2 linked regions of the Ovis aries genome follow. The protein of the gene in region 1 purifies or fractionates together with the protein of each later gene. This does not show direct contact. Links are inferred from orthologs where the notes say so. Each region holds a gene or a part of one and is shown on either strand. Other genes may lie near its edges.

The links.
Region 2: the proteins of WDR24 (region 1) and DEPDC5 purify together in Homo sapiens (affinity purification with western blotting; 4 studies listed by BioGRID and IntAct, with this or other methods). This does not show direct contact. The link is inferred for Ovis aries from reciprocal best matches to the Homo sapiens genes WDR24 and DEPDC5.

What each region holds. Positions count from the first base shown.
Region 1 is NC_056077.1:1,125,280-1,131,430, forward strand, and holds the start of WDR24 (GATOR complex protein WDR24), read right to left. Parts: upstream 3,356-6,151; 5' UTR 2,732-3,355; coding exon 2,251-2,731; intron 1,090-2,250; coding exon 912-1,089; intron 770-911; coding exon 97-769; intron 1-96. UniProt on the Homo sapiens protein: Catalytic component of the GATOR2 complex, a multiprotein complex that acts as an activator of the amino acid-sensing branch of the mTORC1 signaling pathway. The GATOR2 complex indirectly activates mTORC1 through the inhibition of the GATOR1 subcomplex.
Region 2 is NC_056070.1:70,303,690-70,309,740, reverse strand, and holds part of DEPDC5 (GATOR1 complex protein DEPDC5), read right to left. Parts: intron 2,453-6,051; coding exon 2,365-2,452; intron 1,568-2,364; coding exon 1,521-1,567; intron 1,309-1,520; exon of another isoform or gene 1,236-1,308; intron 1-1,235. UniProt on the Homo sapiens protein: As a component of the GATOR1 complex functions as an inhibitor of the amino acid-sensing branch of the mTORC1 pathway.

The sequences.
Region 1 (6,151 bases):
AGCTGAACTCTGAGCTCAGGGCAGGGTCCGGCCACAGCTGTCAGCGGAGCTCCAGGCCCTGTACCAAGATCCTGGCCCTCAGTCCACCCCGTGTACCTGGTTGCGGCCAAGCTCTCGAGCCACTTTCGCATTGTGGTCACAGAGCTCAGCCAGTGGCCGGCCGGCCAGGGCATAACGCTCGGCAGTGTCCACGAACCAGCTCATGCTGCCGCTGCCGGGTTCTATCTCAAAGACATTGAGGGCACTGGAGGCGAGGCCCGCAAAGGGCTCGGCAGGGTCCAGCTTGCGCTTGAAGAAGATGGGGTGGCGCCGATCCCCAGCGTAGGGTTTGCGCCCCAACTCGGTGGCCACAAGGCTCTCCTTGGCTGCGAAGGCCAGGTCCCCAAAGAGGCCGTAGCAGAGGCCCTCAGGGTTGGCACGCTCAACAGGCTGGCTGGCGTCACGGAACAGGTGCTGACAGAGAGTGCTGTCCTTGGAGCCGGAGAGCAGGAAGGAGGAGTCATGCGGGTGGCGCCAGGCGATGCCTGTCGTGACGTCCCGGTGCTCCTCAAACATGGCGGCGGGCACAAAGGGCCGGCGCACATCCCACACGTAGACGTTGTGGTCCACCATCATGGAGCACGTGGCGAGGTGGTGGCGGCACTCGGGCCTCCACTTGACTCTGGCCACGGAGGCGATGGTCTGCACGCAGTGCACCTCCTTGGCACGGTGTGTGGCCATGTCCCAGACCTTCACCATCTTGTCACGCCCACCTGTGGCCAGCCAGCCCCTGGGGAAGGCCCACGAAATCCTCAGTGACCTCTTTCGGAGTGGGAGGGCTCCCCATTCTGTCTCACAGGTCTTGAGGCAGTGAGAGAGCCCTTCCACAAGCCCACCCACCCTGGCCCGCTGCCCTGGCCTCCACCCCACACCTGTCCTCGGGGTGCCAGTCGCAGCAGAATACAGGCCCATTGTGGGCTGTGAACATTCGCTCACAGCGGTCGGGCCGCCGAATGTCCCAGAGCTGCACGTTGCCGTTCTCGAAGGTGGACGCGAAGGTGAAGTAGTCCCGGATACTGAACTGGACATCGCGCACACTCTCAGACTGGCCTGTGAGCGGACATTAGTGGAGGGAGAAGGTTGGGGGTGGGGGACAGGGTGGCCCACAGGAGCTCCAGGAGGGAGAGTAAACAACCAATGGGGATTCCTCAGAATGGATGTGGGCTGGTGTTGCATTCCTGCCTGTGGCCGAGACCACAGGCCTGGAGGGTGATGTAGACATTTGCCAAGGCCTGTCCAGAGTGGACAGGGGCGAAGAGAGGCATGGCAAAGCAGATAATAGCCCAGGCAGGTGAGAGGGACACCAGGCATCAGGTGGTTTTTAACAGACTCCTGGACCTTGATTTTCTCTGGATTCTGCATCTGACATCTGCCCTCGTGCAAAGCTGTCACGGCTTCAGGACCAGGTGTCAGAGCACTGTGTGAACAGGAGCCTCGGTGGGCCGAATACAATCCTCTGGAAGCCTCAGGCCCCAGGAGGCAGAGATAAAATGCCCCAGGCTCTGCCCAGGCCCTACACCTTGAGCTGGAGCTGCCAGGTTGGCCAGCCCCCAAGGACTGGAGATCTTGAGGGGACACGTCCAGCCCTGAGGACCACCACACCAGGAGCCTTCGAATGCAGCACCCAGCTTTCCCCTGCACAGGGAGCTCAAGGACTGTCGTAAGAGGCTCCCTGATTATCTGAGGGCTCTGCCCTGGTCTTCATTTGGTCTCATCAAGGTAAAAAATGTGAGCTGGCTCAAGGCGGGGGTGTCAAGATCTGGGGCTGCTGGGAAGGGAACTTGGGGGGTGGGGAACCAGGCAGTGCCCCACTCCCCACTGCTTCCCTGGGCTGAGGACCCTGGAAGCAGACTTCATGCGATGAGGTGGCCTGGAGCTCTGAGGCATGGCGAGAGGAGGCTGAGCTGCCAGGGCAGCCACCCATTTGCCCTCTCCCTGATCCCACACTACCCTCGACTCCTGCTGGCCCTGCAAGTGCATCAGCGCTGTGCCCACACTCCAGGTACCCGTCACACTTCCACCAGGCCCACCTCTGCCCCTTCCCTGCTGACCTCCACCCCCTCCTCCAGTGCCAGCTCAGCTGGCTCCTCCTCCAGGAAGCCCTATGGGAGCACACCTGAGGGCCTCTGACACACAGCGCTTCTCAACCTGCCTAGACAGGTCGGCCACCTGCAGAGGCACACCTGCCTGACCTGCCTCCCAGGGCCTCACCCGAGAAGGTGCTGACAGAGTCCTTCCTGCGCAGGTCAAAGCACTTCATGAAGCCATCCTGGGAGCCACTGAGCAGCACGTGGGCCTCAGTGGGGTGGAAGCAGACTTTGTTCACTGTGCGCTTGTGCTCCGTGAACAGCTGGTCCTGCTTGTTGCGGGACGGCCGGCCCAGGTTCCAGGTGACCACCACGCCATTGGTGGCCGCCGTGGCCAGCAGGTTCTCGTCCATCTGGTGCCAGACAACGTCTGCACAGCTCAGGTTGAGGGAGGGCTTGCGGCCCACGCGCAGGTTCAGCTTCTCCACAAACTGCTCCTCCTCAATGGCATAGATCTTGAAGATGCTGCGGCCTGCTACGACCACCTGGGCCGCGTCACGGCACACACTGATGGCATTGGCCGGAGCATCCAGATGGCAGTGCATGGTGCGGCCAGTCAGCACGCTCCCACCGAGGGCCGTGGTCACACGGGACATCTTCTCCATGGCTGCACGGGTGGCGAGGACAGATCGGTGAAGTGGGCAGACCTGGTCAGCCTGGCGGCAGGGGCGTGTCCTTTCAGACCCTTCACCCTGGGTGGTTCCTCCAAAACTGCTTAGTCCAGGGAAGTCCACCGTTAGTCAATCGGTCTGATAGGCAAGTTCCATCACCCTGGCCGGGCAGTCGGAGGGTGCCATGGCTGCCCTGAGGCTAGCCAGCCCCATGTCTGACTTCTGGGGGAGACCTTACCTGGTCAGCCCCAGGCCAGGCCAATTCTCCAACTCCCTAACTGCCAAATCAGGATGGTCACTGGACCTTCGGGCAGTCAGTCCCGCCAGGGAAGCCAGATGGCTCCCACCGTGCACAGTCGGCCTCTGGAAAGGAGGGGGCAGGAAGACCAGAGGCGCGAGGGTCAGAGGGGCTTCCAGGACCGAGCTGTTTACGGAGCCCGAGGGATGGCTGGCGCGACCGCACAGGAGAGCCTGGCGGCGCAGAGGTTGCGGCGGGAGCGGAGACCGCGGGAACAGAACCGGAGGAACGGAGAAGTCTCTCCTTCCGCGGGCACCTGAGCCATTTCCCGAAACTGCCGGCCCGGGGAGGAACGGCCGCGCCGGAAGAAGCCCGTCTCCGTCCCGCCCCCCGCCGAACGTGGTCCTTTTCTTTCCAGCCCCGCGCTGGAAGCGGGCGCCCACACTACAAACGTTCCGGAACGGGAGAGCGCCTTGGGGGCGGAGGGCGAGCAGAGAAGGGGGAGAGGCTTCGCCGGTTCCGCCTCTGGTATTCTTCCTCTTCCTTTTTTAACTCGTGTTATTTGAACGCTAGTGCTCATCTCTGCCCCCACAGTCCATCAGCAAGCCCAGGCATCCCCAGGCTGGCCCCACACCCCTCCTCCGTCTCCGCCTCCTTTTTCGCGCTCTTCGGGACTCGGGAGCAGCCTCCTAGCGGCTCTCCTGGGGTCCCCCCTCCCGCGTCATCTGAGCTCCGCACAGCCAGGGACTCCGGCCTGCGGGCCTCCACACGTCCTCACCGCGCTGGGAGGCAAATCCCGAGCTCCTGGCCCGTCCTCTCCGCGCAGCTCCCGCCGCAGGAGCCCTTGCCTGCCTCACGGTCATCGTGGGTGCACGCTCGTTGTCCTCCCTAGAACGCGTCTCCTCATCCCTCAGAGTTCAGCTTAAATGGCACCTTTTTAGAGGCCTTCCCCGGCCACCGCATCTCAGTGGCCTCCACGGCGCTCGTCACAACCTGGTATACTGATTACATCTGTTTTACACGAATGTGAACTCGCGTCCGTCTGTCTCCAAGAGCTCTGGTGCCTGACTGGACCTGTTCACACCAACGTTCAGTCAGTGACCCTCTCTGAGCCGCCCTTCTTCGCTGGGTATGCGCCCTGGCCTGTGCTTGCTGCTCTGTGTGATCTGGGACACCCCTGCTGCTGCTGCTGCTGCTGCTAAGTCACTTCAGTCGTGTCCGACTCTGTGCAACCCCGTAGACAGCAGCCCACCAGGCTCACCCGTCCCTGGGATTCTCCAGGTGAGAACACTGGAGTGGGTTGCCAGTTCCTTCTCCAATGCGTGAAACTGAAAAGTGAAAGTAAAGTCGCTCAGTCCTGTCCGACTCTTCAGGACCCCATGGACTGCAGCCTACCAGGCTCCTCCACCCATGGGATTTTCCAGGCAAGAGTACTGGAGTGGGTTGCCATTGCCTTCTCCCTAGGATACCCCTAGCAGCCCTCATTCTTGCCCTTGGAAGAATGGGCTATATCCTAGATATTTTGGAAGGAGTGTTATATGTAATGATTTTAGTGTCTCTCCCTGCTGACACAGAGGTTAGGGGCCTTCTGTGGTGGTCACTGTTGGGTTTCCAGTCTGGCACAGTGTTACCAGTCTCTGCATGTTTATTGAAAGAACCAATACACCTGATGAGGGGTGCACAAAAATTCAGACTTGGGCCACTCAGGACAGAGAACACCTTCCCCCCACCACGGTGTGATGACCTAAAAGCAATTCAGACATGTGTTTTTACAACTTTTTTAATATATATTTTTATAAACAGGTCACGTGATAAAATAGCACAAGAAACACTTACCAAATATAAGGTTATATCTTCCGCATATACAGGAGAATGAGGTCGTTATGTACAATAAGAAAATGATTTTAGGGGTTGGTTGGTTTTGTTTTCCTCTGTCCCCCTAATTTTTCCTCCTACAGTCGTTGGAAATATCACAGCTTCAGTTGCATTAATACTTTGGACAAATGGACAGCTGCCCCTCCCCACTTGGAGCTGTGGGGAGGAGGGGCTGAAGAAACTGGCTCCTGACCATCTCAGCCCTGGAGCCTCTGGCCAGCACTCCAGGGGCAGGGAAATCTTTGGGCTGTTGAACTCTCTTCAACAGCATCTCTCGCTCGCTCTTTCTCTTTCTCTCTCTCTCTCTCTGTCACTCTCTGGCTCTCTGGAAACTGGCTACTCTCTTCCAACCAGATTGGGGGGTGGGGAGTGTCCCAAGATAGGGTGTGGGTGCTCAAGGTTGGGATGGAAAGGGGTCCCAGCCCCCTCCTCAGCAATCGCCAAGATGGGCCAGCACCCCAGGACTTCCCGATGTGCTGGGACTAGACAGAACACGGTGCGCCCACGTGGGCAGGTAGAAGTCTGGGAAGCTGGGGAGAGGGAGGCTGTGGCTAGAAAGGAGCCCTCCCTTTGGGTGTTGAGGGGGAGCTGGTCACTGGAAGATTGGTCACTGGCTAGGGCCCCCTTTCCCAGCTTCCACCTGGTGGAGACCTGCCCAGGATGAAGTGTTGCACTGAGGGGCCTGGGCCCAGCTGGCTACAGGGGTTGCAGGGCAGGGTCCACTCAGGACTGCTCCCAAGGCCTGCAGGCCCCAATGGTCGCTCCAGCTGCAGGCCTCTCAAGGTAGCTATGCCACCCTGGGTTGAGGTGGACTGGAGCCAGCTGGGCTAATGTTGATTATGCCAAGGTCACTGTCAGCCTGGTGGCCCCTCTCCTAATCCAGTTCTGCCCTAGCCTGGCCAGGGTCCAAGGACCTTAGGTCTGTGGGTGGGGTGGGGCGAGCCGGGCCTCTCTCACACAGCGGCAAGGAAGAGGGGAGGTCGCTGGGGGTCAGGCTGGCATGAGTGGGGGAAGGGCGGGTGAGACTTGGGCTCCTGGCGGGCCATGGCTTTGGCGGCGGCCTGTTTCCCCTCGCACCCCTCAGAGGGCTCCAGGCGCGGTGCAGTGGAAGATGCGGGACCCAGCTCCCCTCAATCCCCCTGGGCCCTGCCCGGGGTGGGGAGACAGAGCGGGGTGTGGCGGAGAAGGCGGTAGGGGCCGTCTGGCGAGCTCAAAGCGCCCCCAGGACCGAGCCCCAGCGCTCCGCCTCCGGCGGGCGGGCGAACGATGGAGGCGACTGTGGCGTGGCGAAGGGCGGGCGT
Region 2 (6,051 bases), on another chromosome or scaffold:
GAAGATCGCCTGGAGAAGGAAATGGCAACCCGCTCCAGTATTCTTCCCTAGAAAATTCATAGGCAGAGGAGACTGGCAGGCTACAGTCCATGGGGTCACAAAGAATGAGATACAACTGAGGGCACGTGTGTGCGTGTGTGTGTGCACACACACACACACAATCTATAAATGCCCAAACATTCAACAAACAACACAACTGATCCTTTACCAAGGGCAAGACATGTTTTCTGTCTTCAGGAACTTAAAACTTAGAGAGTTCTCTGCTGTTCAGGTGAAGTAAGACCTGAAGCCAAGCAATTAAAAAATGAGAGAGAGACAGACTGAAATAGAGAGAGAGAAAAAAGAGTTTAAGAAGCAACACAAGAAAATTCAAAGGGTTGTGAAAATTGAGAAGAGGAAAGAGACCCTTTCTCTTTTGGAGTAAAAGTGGTGATGGTAGTCAAGAAAGAAACAAACTTTCCAATGAGCCCTGAAGTCTGCTAAGTAAGAACGTAATAGGCAGCAGGAGATGCGGCTGCTGCTGCTAAGTCGCTTCAGTCGTGTCCGACTCTGTGCGACCCCACAGACGGCAGCCCACCAGGCTCCCCCATCTCTGGGATTCTCCAGGCAAGAGCACTGAGGTGAGAGCAAAAAGGACACTCAGGATCTAGGTTTGAAAACACGTTTTCCCGTCAATTTAAAACATAAAAAAGTGGTTGACATCAAAATCCTTTAGAGAAGATTAAAAAAAATTTTTTCTTTTCAGTGCCGTTTAAGGAATTATTTTATTTGCTATCAATTAACATTTTAGTTCCTAGATCAGCATGGTATAGTCATTAGAAGAAAGGATTTGGATTCAGACTGAGTTAGTATTGATAGAATCACTGCTCTGGCTCCTTCACTTGCTAACACCAGGCAAACTTGCTCATCCCACTGAGACAAAGGTTCCTCCCTCACTCAAGAGCTGGTGGGAAGAAAAAGACAGATAGATGCCAAGCAGCTCCAGTTCAGTGCTTTGCACAAGTGCCGGGTAATCAGCGGTCTATGTTCTTCCTCTGCTCCAGCCCAGTGTAGACACGAAACAAATATTTTGTGAAAAAATATAATATTGAGAAAAGCATGCTTTGCCAACAATTGTTTTAGAGTTTAAGTGTAGGGCTTACTCTACTTTCCTTTTGATCCTAAATATAGTTTTTGTTTTCTTGTTAGTATTTACTTATTTGGCTATGCAGGGTCTTAGTTGTGGGAACTCTTAGTTCCCCGACCAGGGATCGAACCCAGGCCCCCTGCATTGGGAGCACAGAGTCTTAGCCACTGGACCACCAGGGAAGTCCCTAAACATAGTTAAAAATGTCTAGTGCCCTCAAGGTGCTGACGAATGAGATTCCTTGGCAGTTTTGGTATCTGACAATATTTTTATTAGCAGGAACACAATTTGATAAGGAGAGACATACTGTGCCCTCATTGTGAAGGGAGCTTTCTTAAAGTTTCTGAAACAATAAAGTGTAAAAAATCTTAGAGAAGAGAGATGGAATTCTTACCTTTCTGCAAATCCTCCTTAAGTGACTTGACCTGCAAAAGCAGAGGGCTAGAGGTGGTGGGGGTGGAGGGGTGGGGGAGAAAGCAACAAAGAGAAGAGATGTTGTCAGCATTAACTAATCAGTTTTTTTTTACCACCCACAAAACACAAACAGATCACTCTGGACATATTCTAACCGGCAGCACAAGAACAGGAGAGAGTTCCTTTAGAAACAAACTCTGCACTTGTACAGTAAGTCCCCTACATCCAAACCTTCAACTTGTGAACTTCCAAAGATGTGAATGTGCGTGCCAGCCCCCGTGTGCCACCCACTGTACTGGATGACTGTAGTTTTCAAGGTACTGTGCTGTACGATTAAATCCGTTTTATTTTTTGTGTTTTTGATGTATGTATTATTTGTGTGAAAAAGTATTAGGCTGGCCAAAAAGTTCATTGGGATACGGAAGAACTCGAATACTGGCCAGCCCAATGTTCTGAACCTATTACAGCACATACTATACAGCCAATTGTGTCAGCTGGGTACCTAGGCCAATTTCGCTGGACTTAGGGACAAATTGGACTTAAGGACAAATGCACTCTCAGAACAGAACTCATTGGTATGTCAGAGACTTACTGTATTCAAGGGAATGAATAAATGCTACAGAATTGTTCAGAGTTCTCTCAGCTTTGTAACCAGAAAGAATGGACCCCTTTTAAAAAGATTGATTGGTCTAGCAAATCCCAGAGGGCAGGAACATTTTTATCCCAAGGCAAAGAGCCATCTCGCCCTTCATCCCCTTAGACAACACATCACCTGGAAACAGCAGGCTGCCCAGCTAGCCCCCTACTCCTGCTCAGATGCTCACCTGTACTCATCGTTGGGGTGGGCAATCTCCACGATGTCTCCAAGCTTGATGTGTGGAAATACTTTGGGGTTCATGACTAGCTCATCGTCTGAAAGACAATTCAGGGATCTCAGGCAGCAAGCAACTCACGCGGGTTGTGGGTTGCTGTGTGTTCTCACGCTGGGTCCTTACAACCCCATCATTCAGAATGACAACCCCATCTCACAGAGGAGGCTCCATTTAAAATTGAGATTTAAGGCTCCCCTAGTGGCTCAGTGGTAAGGAATCCACCTGCCAATGCAGAAGACATGGGTTCGATCCCAGGTCCGGGAAGATCCCACGTGCCTGGGAGCCCCTGAGCCCGTGCACCACAACTATCGAGCCTAGAGCCCAGAGCCACAGTACTGAGCCCACATGGCACGACTACTGAGCCTGCGTAGCCCAGAGCCTGCGCCCTGCAACAAGAGAGGCCGCTGCCACGAGGAGCCCACGGTCCACAGCTAGAGAGGAGGCCCCACTTGCTGCAACTGGAGAAAAGCCTGCGCAGCAACGAAGACCCAGCAGAGCCAAAAATAAATAAATGAAATTTAGCTTGACTGAAGGATTTGTACAGGAAGCCAGAGGTGGTGAGCAGCTGAGTGGGATGGTGTTCGGGGACCTTTGTCTCCAGAGCTTTACCTGCCAGCCCACTGCTCCCAGGGAGAAGGCAGCTCTTCCGCTCTGGGAGTTAGGCGTCTAGGGCAATTCTTTACTTCCTCAAATGGTGTGCATCTGTCATACACCAGGAACAAGACAGCCAGGGGCCCACATACAGCACAATCCCTTCTACTTAATATTCAAAGAATTATTCAAAATACTGTCTGAATGTGACCCTCACAATAAATCTCTAGATCTAACAGAAGCAAGAAAACAAGAGATAAAGCAACTTGCCAAAGGTAGATAGCTAGCAACAACAGTACACGAGGACTGGTTACTAGTCCAGGGTTCCAAAACCCACTGTTTCTCACATCCCTCAAGCCAAATAAAACACCCTGGACTTGGAGGGCAATGCTTGATCAGGGAAAAAATTCACATATAGCAGAATTGAACAGACAACAGAAATAACTTGACAGAGGACAGGATGCAAGGACACAGTATATACAGCATATCTATAAAGTATGTATACAGTGTATCTATACTGTACGTATACAGCGTATACAGTGTATCCGTATACAGTGTATCTATAATGTACGTATACAGCGTATACAGTGTATCCGTATACAGCGTATACAGTGTATCCGTATACAGCGTATCTATAATGTATCTATAATGAGTCTTCTTTTTCAGTCTGGAGCTGGGTACAGGAGACTCTTAAATACACAGAGGATGTGATTTTATATGGTTATCTATCCCTGCCCCACACTAGAGCTCGGGGAAGGGGGAGGGAACTCTTTCAAATATAACACACTCAGGATCATAAAGATATAGTATTTTGTTGTTTTTTCTTTGTCTCTGTTTTAGCTTTTAGGGAAAGATGGTCTTTTTTTCTTTTCTTTTCTTTTTTTTGGCCATGTCACATGGCTTGTGGGATATTAATTCCCCAACCAGGGATCAAACCCAGGCCTTCAGTAGTGACAGCACAGAGTCCTAACTGCTGGACCATTAGGGAATTCCCAACACATCCTTCTATCATGCTAAAATTATGACAAAGAAATATGTCCAGATTTCAGATAAAATCAGAACCAACAAGAACTCAGCCTAGGAAAGCAAAGTACTGAGTTAATGCCCAGTTGCTCTTTCTTTTTGGATACAGTCTCCATTGACAGATGTAAAGCAAAGCCTCTATGAAGTCTCCCTCTAACTTTCAGTCTCACAAGTATTCCTTAGTGTTTAATCTTACCATTTCTTTTTGCATGTATGTCACAACAAGCTGAAAGCTCCTTAGGGAGAAGGAACCTTGTCATATTCAAAATCTTTATGCTTGGTATAGACAGGCGGTGTAGTCACTAAGTCGTATCTGACTATTGCAACCCCATGGACTACAGCCCACCAGGCTCCTCTGTCCATGGGACTCTCCAGGCAAGAATATTGGAGTGGGTTGCCATTTCCCTCTCCACTGGTACAGGTATGTACCTAATACATAGTTGTTGGATGTATGTTTTTCAATTTGATTTTTATTTTATTTATTGACATACAGGTGCCATACAATACTGCATCAGCTTCAGGTGCTCAGCATATGGTTCAGTATTTTTGTGGAATATATACCATTATGAGCTATTACAAGATAAGAGGTGTATTCCCTCCGCTACATAATATATCCTCGTTGTTTATCTATCTGATACATAGCAGTCCGTATCCATTAATCCCATACCCCTAATCTGCCCCTCCCCTTTTCCCTCTCCTCTTTGGTTGCCACAAGTTTTGTTTTATATGTCTGAGAGTTTGTTCTGCATATACATTCATTTGTTTTGTATTGGTTTTTTAGTATCTGTCTTTCTCTGTCTGACTTAATCACTAAGCATAATATTCCCTAGGTCTATCCATGTTGCTGCAAATGACATTTCAATCGTTTTTATGGCTGAGTAATACTGTAGGATGGATTTTTTTCTTTATAGTCCTACAGCAGACTGGGTACAGCAGGGATCTACCACTGTCTTGCACACGTGAAAAAGAACACTTGCATACATTGTATTAATAGATACAGAGTATACACTGTATCCTTTTCTCCTTTCCTGTGTCAAAAGTTATTTCTGTTTGTTCAATTCTGCTCCACAAAGGTTTAGGCAGCTTCCACTGCATACAAAGTACAATGCTAACAACAGACTGTGGTTTTAGCAGAAATTATGTTTTAAATATAGCAATGCCGGGTATATCCTTTTCCTGGTACTTACAATGGCTACATTTATTTAGCAGCTAAAAGGAGCCTGGCTGAATACTTTACATACATCACTTAATTTGAACCCTTAAGATCTTATGATATAGAAACTATTATTCTACCTTTTAGGCAGCCCTTACCTTTGGGAGGCTTATACATCTCTAATACAGGAGCAGATATAAAAGTGAAAGTGAAGTCGCTCAGTCATGTCCGACTCTTTGCAACCTCATGGACTATAGCCTACCAGGCTCCTCCATTCATGGAATTTTCCAGGCAAGAGTACTAGAGTGGGTTGCCATTTTCTTCTCCAGGGGATCTTCCCAACCCAGGGATTGAACCCAGGCCTCTCGCATTGCAGGCAGATGCTTTACCATCTGAGCCACCAGGGATTTTGAGCACATATATAGTAAAACACAATTTTTAAAACACTGTGTTGTTAATTCCAATTCCTGAAGTAAATAAGGTTATTAGGACATAAAGGAGATTTATTCCTCTAGGGGAAAAAAAAGTCATATAAATAGGTGCTTCCTTATTCTGCAGATTCATAATCTCAACGTGCTAAGAAAAATGGAGAAATTACCCTAAAGAGCTGGAATTTGTAATTAAGGTAAACTAGAGGCTTGCCCAAGGTCACAGGGAAATTAAGAGGCAGAGCTGATACCCAGATTCAGGTTTAATGGAGGGCAACATGCTGTGTCTTGCCCCAACTTATGGTGCTTCAGAGCCAGGCAAAGGTTCCTACTTTGATCATACCTGTCTTATGCACACCTATTACCTCTCTTTCATTGAACATAAGTTTCTCTTATCTCCCGAACCAGTGCAGACTGGAATTTTATAGAACATACACAGTAAAT